Neodiprion lecontei: one gene and its partner. The protein of the gene in region 2 interacts with the protein of the main gene of each other region in a pairwise test. Links are inferred from orthologs where the notes say so. Each region holds a gene or a part of one and is shown on either strand. Other genes may lie near its edges. The genes, in order: histone H4 transcription factor and transcription initiation factor IIA subunit 1.

Region 1 (8,835 bases), on a different chromosome or scaffold from region 2:
ATTGTTGCCGCAACAGAAGAACCGACGTACTACTTTGACAGCCAGACCTAACCTAATCTGGAGATCGAAAATTAACTACCGTTTGCTTATCCATTAGGAGCACTTTCATACCAGGACCGCTCTCTTCGGTCATTTTGGTGATGTAAAGCTTTAAAGCCGAAAACACGTTCATTTTCGATGGATTTTTATCAATTATACTACATTAAGGTTAAGGTGCACATAATCCACGACTTCGTGACACACAATCACTTGGTACCCTTGGTACGAATAAGAGGTAGTCCGGCGTCCAACTGCCCTGCTCCCTGTGTTGAGCTCTGTGATTATTATGCCTTAGTACGACGGAAATCCGCCAGGTACCTCATGCGTCGGTGAGGATGAGGTAAACAATAATGGCGGCGATCTAGCAGACAGTATTCACGAAAGTTTGACGTTTGCATGTGGAAAATCCATAGACATGGAAAATCAAAGCTGCTGCTGAAGATTACATGAATACATTAATATTTGACAAAATAAAATAATTGTATGATGAATGTATGTGACTATAGCGACAATATATTAGTGAAAATGAAATGTATGATGAATCGAAAGACCAAAGATTAAATAAAATTCCATTGATATGCTTTCTTGATAAAGAGAAAACGGTAATCACATTGAATCAATCATGCAAAGGATGCACAATAATAAATCTGTGGGTGGTTATTGACTGGTTGCACTTACTTAAGGTGGCTCCGACAACACGGCAAAAAATGTATCAAATCATGAAATTTGACGCGTAAGAAAAAATTGAAGTGAATTAATTTTGCTAGCAATTTTTTTTTTGGAATAGAAAAACTTGTAACGTTGACTGACGGTGTAAAAAATGAGGTTGTCTAGTAGATCCAATGTATTTTATCGGGCTTTCGATTCCAGAGTGTTTCAAATCACTAAAGTGTCGCAATCAGAATTTGAAGCTAAAAAGAGCAGCTTAGCGATATCAGGCGAAATCAATACCGCATTCGTACTTAGTTAGGACTTATTTCTAAACGATTTGACTCTTGTGATTCTAGACTTTGAAAAACTGCCAGTGATATTCATATAGCATACTTCTTTGATTTAATAGTATATTTATGGTTGCAGATAAATAAAATAGGCTTATTCGTCACATCTCACCCCACACTACATTAATTTGAATCCAGGAATAGGATTTTACAATTATTCATTTATCTCTAGATAAAAATTACATTAGTAAGTATCTCGTTTACCTGGTTAAACAATTGAGTTCGCCTTTTGCTTATCGAGTAAGAACTGGTTCCCTTATCTCTCTCAGCATTTATGAATTTTTACAAGTATATTGCCGTGTCTTAATTCACCTGAACCACTTACACACTTGCATACTCACGACGAAACAGTGATTCGTCACAATCATGCAAGTAAGCCCACTGACCCACTGAGTACTCAGGTGTAAGTGCCTTGGGCAAATTAAGACACGGCATGTCTCAAAACAAACGTCACAAATATTGATGGGAAAAAATTGTTTTGATTGTTGCTTTTAGAATTCTGAAGATTCATTATTGTAACTTGATACAAAATTTAGTAAAGTATTTTATTGCTTTGACAACATAGGTATGTATCTACATGTAAAACGAAGAGGTGATCTCTACTTTATTATTATTGGCGGTTCTGCAGATGGAGGTAGCTCATTGGTCTCCTGAGTTTCGACAACTCTACTTTCGATAATATTCCCATCTTCATCAACTTCGTCAATCCATATCAAAATATTTGAAACAATAGGCATCGATTTGCCAGTCTCGTTAGCAGCTTCATGTTTGGACATTTTGAGGTAATCAGAATTGAGACTTTTCTCCACCTCTTCTGTTATCTATAAAATCGGATACAATTTCTCAGTAAAATGGATATAAATTTATTAAAAACATTGATAGATTTACAACTCACATATCGAAAGATAGAAGTAATACCATGAATGATTGAAAATATATACCTTCAACTTTGGTACAGAAGAACCAGCCGATAGCTCCAATAAGTAATTCTTTTCCTTTGGTGCGGACTCTCCTGTCATTTTGACAGTATCCTCATCCAAGGTTTCATAACGCACAACTTGCAGTCGATAGCAGCCATCCTCATCTTTCTTATAACGAAACCGTTTGTGCCCGTTTGGCCATTGCAAGTGATGAGTTTCAATCAAATGCTTGGTAAGACGATAGCTCTTACGGTATTTTACTGGACATTCGTGGCAACAATAAAATCTGAGGAATTTTGAATGCACACGTTCCATATGTCTAGTGAGACAAAAACAAAATCTCAAATGAACAAACCAACTTTTAAATGTACAGAAGGAAATGAAAGTATCATGGGCAATTAATTAAAGTGTACATTGTTTCAGGCATTGTTAATGAACTTCGCTTTCTTTCTAATTTTAAAATAACAGTCCAAGCACAAGAATACCTGTCCATCATGTATGAGTTTTTGCATCCATAGGAACAACCATCTACAGTACAGATGAAATTCGGTCCTCTTGTATGAACTGCCATGTGTGAATCCAAGTCTTGCTCAGATTTAGCTGCATGTGTGCACAGCTGACATTTGAATGGTCTGCTGGATATATGGCGATATCTTATGTGTTTTGCCAAACTTGCCGGTGACTCGCAACTCATATCGCACATAGTGCATTTATAATGAAATACATGGAAATGCATGTGATTTCTCAGTATACTTTCTGTTGGGTAATACTTGTTGCAGTGTGAACATTGAAAGCCTTGCACTGCAGCAGAATACAAATATAATAATAAAAATTTTGAAGTACTGATAACGGGTTTCAAATAAATAAATCACACAGTCGGATTTGATAGGATTGTAAATATTGTCAAAAATTTCCCCATACATTGGTGTTATCATTACTTACGATCCAAAGGAATCTGGCGTTTGCAGTGATCATGAAATTTGGTATTGGAAGCAAATGTAGCACCGCAATCTGGGCAAGCAACCATCTTCTCCTTTGTGTGACATCTGACGTGCTCTCGAAGCTTGTACAAACTTTTGTAGTTACCATTACAACCTGTCCATAGACAATTTACTCCTCCCTCTACCTTATTTCCACGTGGATTAGTTTCAATGTGTGTAACAACATGCCACAAGTAGGCCTGGTAGTTATTGAAAGATTTTAGGCATTCTTCCCAACTGCAGATCTGAGGCAATGGCTGGTCAATCACATTTTTCAAACCCTGGTCTTGGTAACATTTCTAAAAAAATAATTTCAAATAGTTTTATATGAAATGTGAATGTATTAATTTCAAACGCAATTTAAAGCGCATTTAAGTAAACTCATTTCACAAAATATTACTGAACGAATTCTTTTGAATGATTTATGTATGTAAGCACATGTATTTTTCTGACACAGGCATGAAAAAGTCACTTTTTGATGCCTGTATAACATTCGGCGAGTGGTACTTTATACCACCAACCTCAGAACTATAGTATGAAGACTTTATACTGCAGTTTTGATGGGTAGTTCAAAGTGCATATGTTGAACTGCCATATAACAGACTTTATACGGCAATTCTGAGTCTGTTGCTCTGTCTGAAATATGGATCTCAACTGGTGTCAAAATAACTTTTCATGCTTTTCTGGAAAAATATTGTATGGAGCGTGACCATAAAGTGTTTTTCACTCGAATAATGAATTAAGTATTTTTGCCCGGTAACCACCTACTTTACGGGGATGCCACCTAAAGTACTATTATGTATTTGAATAAAATTCGTCATGATCTATGCTTTCTCACTTCACTATGTAAACAAGAACAGTTACTGCAATTTGTAAAATTCACTGCCATGAACCATTTCTCACCAATGAAACAACTGGTTTTCATGAACGCTAACTCTATTACTTATATTTTTACAATCAAAGTAGAAAACGTACAGATTAAGTTCTTAGATAATGCTGCAAATGATATTGTCAATTTTGCAAGTTGCTTGAATAGTTAATTACAGTTTAGTTGGGAACTTTACAACTAAACAAGTGTAGCATGATCAAAATTATTATAAGACAAGCAAAATAATAAAATTATATTCACAGGCAATTTAACTCTTCCTCTGATGTTAGATCCAATACATTTCAACTTTGTATGATAGGAGTGATAATTAACGTGTTTGGCTATATCGTCAGAAATATCAGATTCGAAGGAACAGCCATTCCACAGACACGCATAAACTTCCCGACCTTCTTCTGTAGTAACGATCTTGAGCTGCGGAATGTGGTTGGAAACATGTTTGACAAAAATATCAAGAGAATTGGTGTCAAACAAACAATCCTTCCATTCGCACAGCAAATTCAAAACCTCATCTTTCACTTGTTTCAACACCCTGCGTCTTTTAGTTCCGCATTCAGAAACTGAGTCAAATTCCGAGTCAGTATCAAAGAACTCTTCTGGTTCGGTGTCTAATTTTCTTTTCAAGACATTATCCTCGGAGTATAAAAGCTCTTGCTGAGATTCCACCCAGCCATGGCATCTGTTTTGCAATTCTTTACTTGACACCAACTCTTTTTCGCTCATAGTCATTGCATAAAATTTATTAAGATATATGAATAATCATATATAAAGACTAGAGGGCGTGACAGCAAATATTTAACGAGTGATAAATTCAATGATCAAACCGCGATATATTTCATTTTACCGCCAATTTTGGTCCTGTAACAAAAATTATTGTCGATTAGTTCAGATTGTAATTATTTGCTAACCAATGAAACACGAGTAGAACCGAAAATAGAAGAACCGAGAGTCCAAGGACATTAAGAATCGCCCAGTAAGAAATATCGAATAAATCCTACAATCAAGTTCGATATTTGTTCGCTATTGTGAAACAATTGAAAATATTAAAAATATAAATAATACGCGTTGTTGGTCACACAACTAGACGTAAGCTTTGTGGGTAGGTGTATGCATGTCCTCCACCATGACAGTTTTTAGCAGTGTAAGATCGTCCCATATTTGTTGGATTTAATCGTTCTATTTACAGTTTACCATTATTAACGATACTCACGAAGTACTTTTCAAATCTGGTTACATCGCAATCAACGTATAAAAATCCTTAGAGCATCAGAATACTGTAAATATCCATTCATAAAGATGCTCGCGCGATGCCTAACTCCACGCTTCATGATTTCGCCAGAGACTGCCGGAGTATTTTTCTTCAACAGACGGTGGAATGGAAATTCAACAATTTTTGCGCTCTCTTCTGGTTAACAATTGATCTACATATTTAATTCACCCAAAACGAAGTGCAATTCATGAAAATCTAGTATTTCTAAAACTATTTGTTGAAAATTACGAAATATGCAAGTTCCGAAATAAATTTGCGTAGCTCAACGAATACAGAACACTAACTTGAATTTTAAAGTCATTCATTAAGGGTTTAACTTAATTTTAAGTTGCCCTCTGGTTATTCCATAAAGCAGGAAAATACGCAGTGCTTAGTAATTTCGAATATTTTATTTAAAGTAAAATAAAAATAAAAAAAAAATTATTATTTAAGGGCACGGGAAATGCGGTGTTGCTGTAATAAGGATATCAGGAAGTCAGGCAATTGATGCCTTGAAGCAAATGACAAACATAACGAAACTTGAACCCAGAAAAGCTTTTCTTCGAAATATCTGCGATCCAGATACAAGGGAAGTTATAGACAAGGGTTTATGTCTTTGGTTTCCAGGTAGCTACTTATTATAGATAGTTTTTGTGAAATAATTATCACACGCAATAGAATTGAATTTGATAAAACATTAACTTTATAGGACCTAATTCTTTCACTGGAGAGGACAGTGTAGAATTCCAGATACACGGCGGCTCTGCTGTAATTGCAGCTGTATCAGCTGCTCTTTCAAAATTGAAATTTGCCCATGCTTTACCAGGTGAATTTACAAGGCGAGCATTCTATAACAACAAGTTGGACCTGACTGAAATTGAAGGGTTGGCTGATCTGATCCATGCAGAGACAGAACTGCAGAGAAAACAAGCATATCTACAAGTTGATGGAAGTTTGAGCAAATTGTACAATAAGTGGAGGAAAACACTTTTACAATCTATTGCACATGTCGAGGCTTACATTGATTTTAGCGAAGATGACAACATAGAAGCTGACATTATGGACAAATGCAATAATGTATTAAAAGTTCTAAATCAGGAAATAAAACGTCACCTTTCAGATGGTAGAAAAGGAGAGATATTACGTGAAGGTGTGCGAACTGTAATTCTTGGGGAACCAAATGTTGGGAAAAGTAGTTTACTGAATTATCTTGTTCAACGAGAAGCTGCAATAGTTACGCCTATTCCTGGAACAACAAGGGACATTGTTGAATTAAATTTAAATATATTCGATTATCCTGTGATTTTAGCTGATACTGCCGGTCTAAGAAAAGAAACGACAGACATTGTTGAGATAGAGGGTATACATAGAGCAAAGAATTATACTAAGGGGGCTGATTTTGTAATTCTATTGGCTAATTCGGTTTCGTATTTAAGAAGTAAGAAGAAGTACGACGAATTTATCATTGACTACGTCGAACGACTAGGGTTAAATGATTTGTTACTGAATAATGGAAAGGTGATGGATCACTGTATAGTAGTAATGAATAAAATAGACTTGTTGGAGCCCCAAGAAAGAGATTCGCTGTTAAAAGATGACAGGACAATATTTATTTCCTGTGCCAGAGAAGAGGGCCTCCAAAAATTCTCGAAACGTGTTGCCATACATTTAAAAAATTTGTGAGTATTGACCGGCTAAATAATCATTTATTTGATACTCTGTATTGAAACCGATCATTGATCTTTTTCTCATGTACTGTATGATAGTTAAACTTTTCATTTTGCAGATGTGGTAATCCGTGTCGTGAAAACCCTACTGTCAGTCAAACTAGGCACAGAATACATTTGACAAATTGTTCTGAACATATAGATAATTACTTCGACCTTATAAAGAGTGAGGAAAGGGACATCGTTTTAGCTGCACAAGAAATACGAAACGCTATGCGAGAACTCGGTTTAATTACGGGATACGTTAGCGTAGAACAAATTCTCGATGTAATATTCAAAGATTTTTGTATTGGCAAATAAATATACCACATTCTAGATTATCTTAATAGTGTACATTTTGTAACCATTCGTTTATTCAAATTCAATTTACCGCTATTATCCGAAAGTCGTCGATTGGCCAATGGCAGCGATAAAAGAAACGTCCATTCCTTACAATACTTCCGGCCAGCCATTTCTTTCAACGTGCGTCGTTGTATCGTGAGGTGCGTTGTTTTTGGAATCGCGATATATCTCTCGAATCTGTACACATCATCCGTACCGTTGCATATAATTGTTTTTGTAAATGATTCAGCTACTTCATTCATTACATATTTTCATGAAATTGTACTTTTCTCAGCATTTGCGACAGTGATAACATAACCTCTAATAATTGTATTTTAACAACAGGATGGCACCAAGGTACGAATTGGCCGTCGGCCTCAAGAAGGGTCACAAAACCACGAAGATACGTGTCGCTAAAAACAAATCTGAAAAAGAAAAGACCGTTACCATCCGCCCAGCTAGGCTCAAGGGCGTAAGTGTCAATTTGTTTTGTACATAACCTCAGTATCGCGTTGCATTCAATTGGAGAAAAATTTCTCGATCCAAATGCATAACAGTTTGATTTTATTTTTAAAAATTATTTCATTAATTGCCACAATCATTATTTTTGATCTTGTATGTATCACCGTTTCTGCATAGCGTCAAACAAAGCACAGCAAATTTGTACGTGACTTGATACGAGAGGTAACTGGACATGCTCCATATGAAAAACGCGCCATGGAATTACTGAAGGTGTCTAAAGACAAACGAGCTCTGAAATTCTTGAAGAGAAGGGTAAGTTACTTTAATGTTCCAGATTCCCTGTTACCAAAGCATTCTTATCGCAGTTCTTTATGAGGCGGAGGTTAGTAACTTTATTCAAATAATTTACTTTCCGGAAAAATCCATATATCACAATTGCAGAGATATCTAAAATGCAGTAAATCATAATAAGGCAAAACTTATTCATCTTTTAAAGACTCATCTACTTCAAAGTCACTATAAATTTGCAAAATAGTAATTTGTCTCCTGAATGTTTCATTACGTTACCGATATTAACTTCAGCCTTATAGTTCTTTTTGTTGCATCTAAAAAAACATGACAATCATTTTCTTGCCACTACTGAGTTATTTATGAAAATAAACGGAGTTGCAGAACATTTCAATGCTTAGATATAACCGACAAAGAAACAATTTGAATTGGAATATCTCCTACATACCAGACCATAGTAGTTTAGTATTGTATGGGAGGAACTGAGTTGAAATCCCCAGACTATCAGGGAGGATCTAAGCAATACCTCGCGAAAATTATAAGATGGGTCACATCACATAGGCGCTAAATTAGCAGGTTGAGGTTTTAACTCGGTTCGGCTACACCTGGGCAAGGTTTTTTTTTTGTAGTTTTCCTTGTCCCTTGTGCGTATATGGATGTTTCTACTGAACATCTTAAGACAGCTGCAGTTAGATAATAATGGTCACTAATTCATTCCTTCTTTTGCTCCGCATAAGTCTCCTGTACACTTCTGGAGACATACTCTATCAGTCTTGGCGGGTAATGGCAGTGATTATTATTATTATTATATAATGCACAGTAATTGCAACTTCTACCTCTTTGTACATTCCTAAAGTTCTTGACGAGCAAATGAGAAAAACCCAGGCACAATTACCTACATTTTGGGAAAAACATAAATATCAGTATGATTTGAATTTGTGCAAACATAGTAATACAGCTTGAAA
Region 2 (10,526 bases):
TATTTAAACAGGAACTAAAATACTTGATGCAATAGTTGTATTGATATCTTTGACGATATTTCATGATTTGTCACCAAATTAAAGAAAGTTCCTAATATCTCAGTTCATATTCCTATTTCATAAGTAAATCTATGAGTTTGAATACTACTATGCATTTACGTTAAGTAAGCATTCGGTATTAGACCTAAAATTTGATAAAATCCTATAATTTTGGAAAGTACTCACCAGGATTATTTGAGTACTGGAACACCGTCATGATGACAGCAGAAACAGATTGACTAGCATAGTTTTCTGTTCCATCTTCAATTTTGCGTGCTAAATAAAATCGGATTAATCAGCTAAACTATTGAAAACATCAACTTTTTCCAGTGAATTTTGAGTACATTAGCTCTAAAGTTTTGCAGCCTGCTACATTATCGATATGGAAATTCTTCAAAATTACTTGAAATGGAAGTACTGGTGTAGTATGTCGAATTTTACAAAGGTATTACAAAAGGATAAATTTTCACAGATTAGAAATAAGATTTTGTTATTTCTGTGTGGAAAAACATAATTTGTTGGATCGGCAAATTTTAGTATTAAGATTGTCACAGCAAGAAAATTTGTTGCAATAGCAAGAATTTTGCAACTTTAACTAACTAGTTTGTTACATTGGAACTCCACTTGGCTATACTTGCAGAAGCTTCACTGACACAGTGAAAGTTTTTGCATCGACAGCTAAGATTCTTGCTGTCATTACATTAACACCAAGAATTACTGGTCTATCGAATTATTTTTGTCCGTGTGAAGCAGATTACAGGTAAAAAGACTTACTAATTGTGAAGGGTAGAATATAGAAACAGAGGTAATTCACAATCTCCTGATGCAGTTCAACTGGTAGAACGGATATAGCACTTGCTGTTAGATATGGCAAGTTGTCTACAAGATCATGTTCCAAAAATGGCAATAAACAACACAAGCATTGCAGTATTGCCTGGCCAAATGCTGTTAAACACAAATCAGTAGAGATATATATCAATTTATTTTTTAGCACGTTTGAATTATAAATATTCCACCATGCTTTCATAGATATTACGGTGATATTTCAATAGAAAATAAATGAGTAAGTGGTTATACTTTCATAGTTCAATAGCAAATGACCTGTTGTTACGAGGTAAATTGACATGATATGACTTTTACTAACATTGCAGACCAATGTGTACCAGAGGAACAACATCCATGAGCTGCATCACTGCATTGTAGAGCTGTTTATAATCCAAGTTTGGATACAGTGCCATTCTCTGTGAATCAAACTCTTGTGATTTTATCATTTCTAACGGAGAATCAGGAACGTCTTTGAGGAGGGCTGAAATCGATAGCAAATATTGGTATGAACAATGAAAGTTCAAACTTGTACAACATTCGACCAACGGGGGTATACTTACAAAGCAATGTTTGAGAAAAGTATTTTATGGTATTAGTCATGTCGAATCCTGAGGGAGTTGGCTGAATCGCGTGTAGGAGTCTTTGATGGTAATCGTGAAGACTCGAGAGCTTTAGTGTGTCTGTAAAATAGCACTAAAATTACAGTACAGTTCATGTGTAAGGATATTTGTACCTTAAATTGGTTTTGTGTTTACGTTGTACGTTTAAATGAATCTGTTGAAACTATTAATTGCAAGAATGAACATGATCATGAAATACTTGGAAAATTCGATATAACATAGAACGATTATACGCACATGCAGCAAATTTCGTCCCCATTTTAGAGTTGTAACAAAATTGCTTTCGGTAAGATTAATATCGCTTCTTAATATACATCATTCTTGAACAACGCATCGCATGGACCCGAGTATCCGACGTATTGATCCTCCGAACTCAGATACTCTTTAATCTGAAAGCGATGTTCCGCGCTCATCTCGACCGGACAACAGCTGATTCGCTACACTATATTAGTTGTACCTTCGGTTAAAGCATTGTACGGCACTACCGCATTTGCGTAAAAATGACATAAAACGCTTAAAAAACACTTATGTCATTTCATCCGGTCATATTCGGGTTAATCACTCGGTTTTATACACATGAGTTTCACACGTTACGTTGACAGATCTACGAAAAATTAAGCGCACGCGCCAAACTCCGATGGTCATCGTAACTCCAACGAACCACGGTTCAAGAATAATCTGCTGCCTACAGCCAACTAGGTACAATACCATGCGTTACCAGAGAGAAACCTGCGTTACATCCAAAGTATATTATGGAAATGTTTGAGCAAATCAGAATGTGGGGCGGTAATTATTCCGATGAAAAACTTTTGATTCTGAACCCAACCGGCATCCGAAGTCATTGCCTCTCGTTTTATCGTCTGAATAAATTATTAAAGCGTGTATTACACTGCTTATTCTTATAACCCCGGGGATTCCCTGCTCGCAACAATTTCTATCTGACGATCCAAATTTCGGCAATCGGCATAGAACTGGAGTATAATTTGTCCACTGTTTTGTCCAATAAATCGCTTATGCAGTGGATGTATTCCAGTATGTGTGCTAGCATCTTGCTAGCAAGTAGCACGTGGACATTTCGGAATGGTCGTTCCGTAACAAGAATGAATATCCGCGATCTGTCATTGCGGAACGGACATACATTTTGTGTCCGATTCACGATGTAAGAAGGGTAAACAGGTTGAAGTCCGACGTTACCAGGTCAAGAAATCTCCACAATTTCGACACTGATACCTGAGGCAATTCCGAGCCCAACTCATTTCATTACGTCTCGAAATGTCGGACGTGCTAGCACCGCTAGCACACATTTCGGAATACGTCCAGTATAAAGCAGAATGGCTGCTTCATTTTGACGTATTCAGGAACTCCTATGATAACTATTGAACGTAGTCACTTCCATTATAACTTTCACCTTGTCGAACCGTAAACTAGGCTCAAAAAATTACGTTATGCGTAAATCGATTAGTTTTACCGTAGTAAAAACTATCATTGCAATTTTTTAGGTTATATTCCTTCATATCACAGTAAGCTGTACATAAGGCTAAAATCACGAGAGTAGTTATGTTGATCGACGTAGTTGAGCCATAGGGTGGAATGGGAGCTGTTGAGAAAGTATAAAAGAGCTCGAGCAACGCGGCAGGTCGGCTTCTCAGAAGCGGGCATTGATTTAGGATTATTCGTATTGTTGTTCTATTGATTGATAATACGAATTATCCCATAATGGCCCTGAGTCAAACTAGCGTGGTGAGTAATAAAGAAAAACCACGAAAATAATATGCTAATGAAAAATACAGGAAACAAAGCATCGTGCTTAACGAGCCGTATGTATGTATTTACGTCTTGCTTTCGGTAATATTAACTTGCTGAAGGCCTTGGACGATCTGTCAATAGTGTAATCTTCGCTATCTTAATGCCTTTGTGACTGTTGTACTCTGTTTTGAAGTAACATTTGACTCGTTACTTGAAAAATGAAGTCGCTCGAAACATCGTTAAATAAAAATATTTATAATAAACGTTTATCGTTATTTTCACCTTCAAAACATGAGGATATCTTTATCGCCCTCGACACGTATGCGTAACGTGTTACACGACATGTTCAACGAAATGTTCATTGATTACACAATTACAAGAGAAAATAATATTGTTGTCATACTTAACGTAAGTAACAAAATATTAAATACCCGTCGATATTATTTTGATGATGATTTTATTTCTTTTTTAATTGAATAGAATTCTTTAAGAGGCAACAAAGTATTGCAATTCCAACTCGTATGCTATTTTCGCCTCACATATAAAACCTTTCTAGCTAGCTAGAGAAGTGTTTTTCTAAAAACATAATTCAGCAATGCTTATACTTCAGAAAGAAGCAAGAAAAACACATTTTACAACTGTGACATTTTACCTAGAAGTTAAAAAGAAATATGCAGATTCATCCACTTTTTTGTCAACGGCCATCTAATACGACATAAGGTGGACGTTACTTCAGTAATATTTTTACACAGCACAAAAGTGAGTAAAATGGTATTTTGGTTTCAGTTGAAGTTATACAACACAGTCATCGAAGATGTCATAGCTGGCGTGCGTGAATCATTTTTAGATGAGGGTGTAGATGAGCAAGTATTACAGGAGTTGAAACAAATATGGGAGACAAAATTAATGTCCAGTAAAACGTTCGAGGTGAACCCAGATCCACCAGAGCCCCAGCCTCCTCAGCTTACCACCCACAAGACAGCGGCAACAAATAAAGGTAACAATTTTGTAATATTTGATGGCTGTAGTCATATGTTATTGCTCACTTTTTGAAGTATTCCAAAACAGGATACAGCTTTATATGTGAAAAAATTTTACCGCACTTTGCATGCTATTCAAGCTGTATTCTACTCCGTACAAGAGATTTTGAATTTTATTGCAAGTTGTGTTTTTTTAAGACTCCATGCGCTCAAATTTTTTCAATTATCACAATCACATGTACATACTCGCAGAATCAAAATACACTTTGAACCTCTAAAGTGAATAGTTTTATACAGAAAAAAAGAATCCACATCTGGCGAAATCCGCACGTATATTACATATGATAGTAATGTCTAGACGTGACTGATCAATATTTTCTTGATGTTTGCTATTTAATTATTCTATATGTACAAAATTTAGTACGTATTTTTCAGATTGTATTGAAATCAGTAAACATTGATATTTAATGTTGGCTCTCATTTTTACAGCTGGAATTGCTGGAAATCATTTTGTGCAACAACCGTCAACTGCAGCTGCAGTACAGCAACAGCAGCAGCAGCAACAACAACAACAACAACAACAACAACAACAACAACAACAACAACAGCAACAACAGCAGCAACAACAGCAACAACAACAACAGCAACAACAGCAGCAACATGCACAGCAAGCGGGCCATCCTGTGCAACAACAATCAAGTGGTATTGCGCAGCAGGTAGTTACTGCTCCTGCTGCAGTTTTGGACAGACAAGTCCCAATTCAAATCACTCTTCCTGCACAAGCTGGTCAGCCCGATGCTCAGCCCCGAGTTCTCACAATACAAGTCCCAGCCTCAGCGATTCAAGGTAAAATAACATATCCTACTACAGTTTTAACCCATAAGTTACCGGATTACGAAATAGCTTGCTGAAAAATATTTTTACTGTCCAAAGCACATTTAAATGATTTCCTAGAATGCAAAGTCTACTTAAAAAATAAAATTAAAATTTCGAAAATCTTGCCCTATTTTGACAGTGTTCGTATGGATGAAATTGATGTCTTAATGGTACAAGTAGCTACATTTATGCACTTTAACTCTTCATTATGGACGTCAGGTTTCTTAGCGCTAGTGAGCACGTGGGGTCTTCGAGGACCCATTTTTTTGGAGCTATATTTTCGCAAAATTCTGCTAATCATTGAAACATAGATTCAAGTATTATTGATCTTGTTATTGCAATTGTAATGCGAATAAAAATTGCCAAAATATTTGGATATCTGTTTTTGTGCAAGATAAAAAGCTTTGGTAGTCACAGACATTTTTGTTACAGGTAACCAATTACATACTATTTTAACTGGTCCTGTAATTACTGCTGCAATGGGACTCCCTGCGAACCTGGCATCAACATTGTTGCAACAACATGTAAATGCTACGCTTCAAGGACAACCTACGCTTGCGCCTATTCAACTAGCCCAACCAACTGTTGTAACACAGAATACAAACAGTGTAACGACACAGCGAACTGCCCAAAGTCAGGTACGAGTATATGTTTACGGAATGGTTAAATTTCTTTTAATTTGTTTTGAGTTGTTCTAGAATAAATATTGTATACGTTGAATATTTCGTCTCTTTCACAATTAATGCCTTTTCCGTCAGTAGGCTCAAAAGTTAAATATATTCCGATTCTTGATTCGTCATCACTTTACTTCGTCAGTACTTCAAAGGTTATGCAATAGATAATTGACTTTACATAAAACTTGTTTTTCACAAATTTTAGGAATCAATGACAATGACAGCATACTTGAAGTTGGTCTTTCCCGCGTAATCATAGCTACTAAATACAGGGTGACGTAGCACTATCACCCCATAAGCTCACTATGTATTCCTCGTGAAAATCTACGACTGAAACGTTTGTTATTTCTCACTGACAGATTGTCGTTTGCGATTTACAGTTGTTTGAAAATGGCCAAACCGGTATCATCTGATGGTTTAGATCAGGGCTGGTGGATAGCCATGTGCTCCACAGCTGTCCTAAGCGATCAAATACTACCGGACTGGCTAATTTCAAACGTAATTCGCGAACAACAAGTTTCCTATTAGAAATAAAAACGTTTCAGTCGCAGACTTTCACATTGATAGCTTGTGGAGTGATAGTCGTAGGTCACCCTGTATATTTCTTACATTCCTATTCCATTGATGACAGGGTAACATAGCTCAATTGGATGGGCCTGTGGTTGATACGTCTGATGAAGACGATGATGAGGAAGAAGAAGATAATGATGATGATGATGAAGATCTTGATGATAGAGAAGAAGAAGAAAATGATGACGCTGCTGCACGTGAGGAGGTAATATTTTTTCAGATTTAACGTCGTGTAATTATCTTCCTATTTGGATAATGCATATGATATTTCTAGAATGTTTCATATACGTTCTGCTTTACGTTTAAGTGTTTTGTACTAGAGATTATATCTTTATTTAGTATTCGGAATTATTGACGTTCATGTGTGCGCATTATTTCAGGAACCACTGAATTCTGAAGATGATGTTACTGATGATGATCCAACAGATTTGTTTGATACGGATAATGTAGTTGTCTGTCAGTACGATAAGGTTGGTACTTTGGTTGTTATACTTGACCATTTCGTTTGTGCCTACTATTTGGACAGTAATAATTAATATATTTGGAATTTTACTGCATTTTAGATCACAAGGAGCAGAAATAAGTGGAAATTCTATTTAAAAGACGGCATAATGAATCTAAGTGGGAAAGACTATGTTTTCCAAAAAGCTAATGGGGATGCAGAATGGTAAGGGGCCCACTGCTACTTTTCTTTTAACAATAAAAAACCTATTCTTCTTTCCTCGTCTCTTATATCTTTTGTGCAGTCCTGTGAATCACATTGTTATGAATTAATCATTCACAGTTACTTCAAAATCATAATAGTATTAATAAGCATTATAAACCAATTACCATTACTCATTTAAAATGATACATGTAATATCAGGTAATATAAAATTTGTTATTAAGCAATTGGATGTTTTACGGTCTTGTGGACAAAATTCAAACTCTTGTATTTTTTGATTATAAAAATAATATATATATATATATACCTATATCTAAATCCGTACTGTTAGGTATTATCTAAATTCTTGCTTTTAATTTTTGTAAATAAAATCTTTCGCAAATATCACTGCACTGGTTTTGACAGAATATAATATAAGGGAATTCAGTTAACTTACTCAGGGATGTTTTGTTGTGGTATATATAAGTAGACTTGGAAACGGTAATAAAGTATACTCTAATTTTATAAATCGCATGGAACTGCATTGCAAGATAGAAGTGATAGTTGTAACATGATTTTTATTCATCTGATACCGATTAATTCCGTTTTGAATTTATAATTCTTGACCCTTACTCACTTACAAGAGGAACTGCCAAATTTCAATAATATTGCGACTGGAATAGACTTGTTTTTACTTTTGTACGCATTTGTAAATCTTATCATAAGATAGATTTTATGTAATTCCAAAATTGCGATTTATAAATAATTTTCTGAATTTATTCTCTGCGTAAATCTAATATAACATAGAATGAAGAATTATTATGCCTATTTCACTTGGAACACGGATACTAAATAATACATGCTTAAATGGTCTACTAAACGATGGGCCAGTTTAACCTTTTAAGGACGGGACTGGTCGAAATTTCGACCACTGGGTTGGTCGGATACTCCACGTGAGAAATTCATTGATATTATACACAAATTTCGTGTAAAATAAAAGGTCGATTTCAACGTAAAAATTCCCGTCCTGAAAAGGTTAATATGCTTTGGGAATAATAATTTTGAAAGTGAATCACCAGTGTAGTTGTAAATTTTAAGACAAAATACAGGTTAGTAATTAGGAGATTAAGTTTTAATTTTTGATTATACTGTATACTTTCACAAAGACTGTGCTCTAATCTAAATATCTGGTTGATTTACAAATGAAATTGCAAAATGGTTAAGGAGTTTGAGTGTACGCTCACTTACAAATTTTGTTGATTCTCGTGAATATTATTAAATCATGGATTATTTGAAGTAAAGTGCCTATGGGTAAAGTGGCGTGTGGGAGTTGAATTTAAATGTGAAACAGACTATTAAGCAAATGATATGCTCATAATTTTTGTTATAATTACCTGGGATGTAAATATATTGTCAAATGTTGTGGAAAAGTGATTATCGAAACGAAGTATAATAGTAAATTATTCCCGAGTTCATAAATTAGTTCATATTTCATTAGATTCATAAAATGGGTCAGACTTATGTATAAATTAAATTAAAGAAACTGATGCTGGGACTTAAGTAGTCGAGTGCACAAGAATCTATACTTGAATTTATTCAACTATGTAATTCTTATATAATTCTTCAACTGTATTGTAATAAAAACGTTTTTGCAATTCATTTCGAATAAAGAATCGAGCATAATCCAAAACTAGTTGGAAAAATATTTTAAAGTTACATGTGAAATAGGTATAGAATGAAGATTTAATAGGTATATTTGAAAACCATCAATGGTTGAGTATTTTACTTCATCTGAAGAAGCAAACAACTTAGAATGAAAATTCTGTAAGTTCATGAAACGAATGATTTATATACTGTAGATTTTCAAATGCTCAATTCATTAGTAAAAAAAAGAATCCATAATTGAATGCAAATTATCACTGCTTAACAACTGCGGTTTCAATACTTTTCATTGATACATATGTATATAAATCAGTTGAATAGTGTTGTGTGTACGTATAGTGTATTTGAAAATTCTTAGAAGAATAAAAGTGTCTTATGCTGCATACATGTATACCTACATTTGTAAAAGTATTTTAAATAAAGAGGGTCTATTACTGTAGATTATATTTGTCAATCGTAAAATTTTATACCCATGAATCGATTTTATTTGAATCAAATCATCTTCTAAACTAAATATTTTCATTTTTGCTACCACAAACGTATCAGTTACCCACGAAAAATCTATTTGAACTCAACGTCAAACTGAAGTTTGAAAATAGAAGTCTATAATATTGTTTTGCAAATGATGAACCTATACTGGCAGATATCACGGTACCATATCAGATTACCAGCAACTATTTCTAAAGTAATCATTTAGAATAGAATAAAATCGTTTACTCACAGTGAACATTTATCATAGAAGTATTACTACATTAGTTGTATATGCTTAACTAATCTGTTTTGCTCCGATTTATAGCTACAAATTATGAAATAACACTCATGTTAACACTCTGTTTCCCCGACTCCTCCTTGAAATCTTCATTTTGTCAGGTATGCACTGAGATGCATCATTTAGCAACAGCATTTGCTCCTGAGATGATGTCTATAAGTTCATTAGTGATTGCAGTTTGACGTGTACGATTGAACTCACGTTTCAACGCTTCTGATATTTTTGTGGCATTTTTTGTAGCATTTTCCATGGCCACGATTCGAGCTGCGAGCTCACTGCAGGCTCCTTCTTTCATCATCCAGTATATAAGTACTACGTAAGAGAACTCCAAGTAGCTTTCTAAAATTTCTTGCTCTATTTCATCGTATATTGCAAAGTTTCTTCCTGCATATACTGCAGTTTTGTTATATAAATCCGTAACGTCTACCTTATATGACATGCGGGATAGACATTGGTTGTAATGCACTTTAGTCACTGTATAATTACTTTTGGTGTTGCATTCATTTATTTTCATGGCAATAACTGATGCATCCAAAAAATTGATATTTTTTTTTCCAACATCTTTTGCTGTCCAAATAAGCTTTTCCGGTAATGTTTTCGAAAAAATAGACACAGAATACTGACCGACACATACCAGTCTACTTTTTGACGCTAAGCTTAGATTGTTGACAAGACTTGAATTAATTACTCTTGCTATCCCAGAGTGAATAGCTCCGCATAATCCGTTGTCAGATGTTAAGGCAACAATCAACTGAGAGCCGATTTCTACAGGAAGATTCACTCCAATTTCTTCATAAAAAATTTTTTGTCCTTTCCCCAAGGATCTGGCATTTTCAAGTTCTTGTTCAGCTCGAACAAACTTTGAGGTAGAGACAATTTTCATTGACTGTGTTATCTTCTTAGTATTTGACACTGATTTAATACGATTTTTTATTACTTTCAATGTTGTCATATCTCGATTTATAAGATTAATTTACACTTGGTTGGCTTCAACGTATTATATTACATTGACATATTTTGTAAATTTATGCTTCTTTGGCGAACAGGTAAAACTAATAGTAATTATGACTGCTAAAAGAGGTTCAATCATAAATCTGACGTTTATATTCAACTTATACTTAA

The links.
Region 1: the proteins of transcription initiation factor IIA subunit 1 (region 2) and histone H4 transcription factor interact in a two-hybrid assay, tested with the Drosophila melanogaster proteins (2 studies listed by BioGRID). The link is inferred for Neodiprion lecontei from reciprocal best matches to the Drosophila melanogaster genes TfIIA-L and Hinfp.

Annotation. Positions count from the first base shown.
Region 1 is NC_060265.1:18,711,732-18,720,566, reverse strand, and holds histone H4 transcription factor, read right to left. Parts: upstream 5,120-8,835; 5' UTR 5,034-5,119; intron 4,923-5,033; exon of another isoform or gene 4,743-4,922; intron 4,682-4,742; 5' UTR 4,553-4,681; coding exon 4,067-4,552; intron 3,237-4,066; coding exon 2,900-3,236; intron 2,759-2,899; coding exon 2,443-2,758; intron 2,277-2,442; coding exon 1,979-2,276; intron 1,859-1,978; coding exon 1,637-1,858; 3' UTR 1,334-1,636; downstream 1-1,333. Other genes in the region: vacuolar protein sorting-associated protein 45, read right to left, coding at 80-172; tRNA modification GTPase GTPBP3, mitochondrial, read left to right, coding at 5,120-5,231, 5,526-5,699, 5,782-6,751, 6,859-7,099; 60S ribosomal protein L36, read left to right, coding at 7,467-7,592, 7,760-7,894.
Region 2 is NC_060263.1:28,726,692-28,737,217, reverse strand, and holds transcription initiation factor IIA subunit 1, read left to right. Parts: upstream 1-3,312; 5' UTR 3,313-3,521; coding exon 3,522-3,638; intron 3,639-4,016; coding exon 4,017-4,227; intron 4,228-4,699; coding exon 4,700-5,056; intron 5,057-5,518; coding exon 5,519-5,724; intron 5,725-6,391; coding exon 6,392-6,535; intron 6,536-6,710; coding exon 6,711-6,800; intron 6,801-6,893; coding exon 6,894-7,001; 3' UTR 7,002-9,178; downstream 9,179-10,526. Other genes in the region: protein unc-79 homolog, read right to left, coding at 226-315, 814-984, 1,184-1,345, 1,425-1,544, 1,722-1,743. UniProt on the Drosophila melanogaster protein: TFIIA is a component of the transcription machinery of RNA polymerase II and plays an important role in transcriptional activation. TFIIA in a complex with TBP mediates transcriptional activity.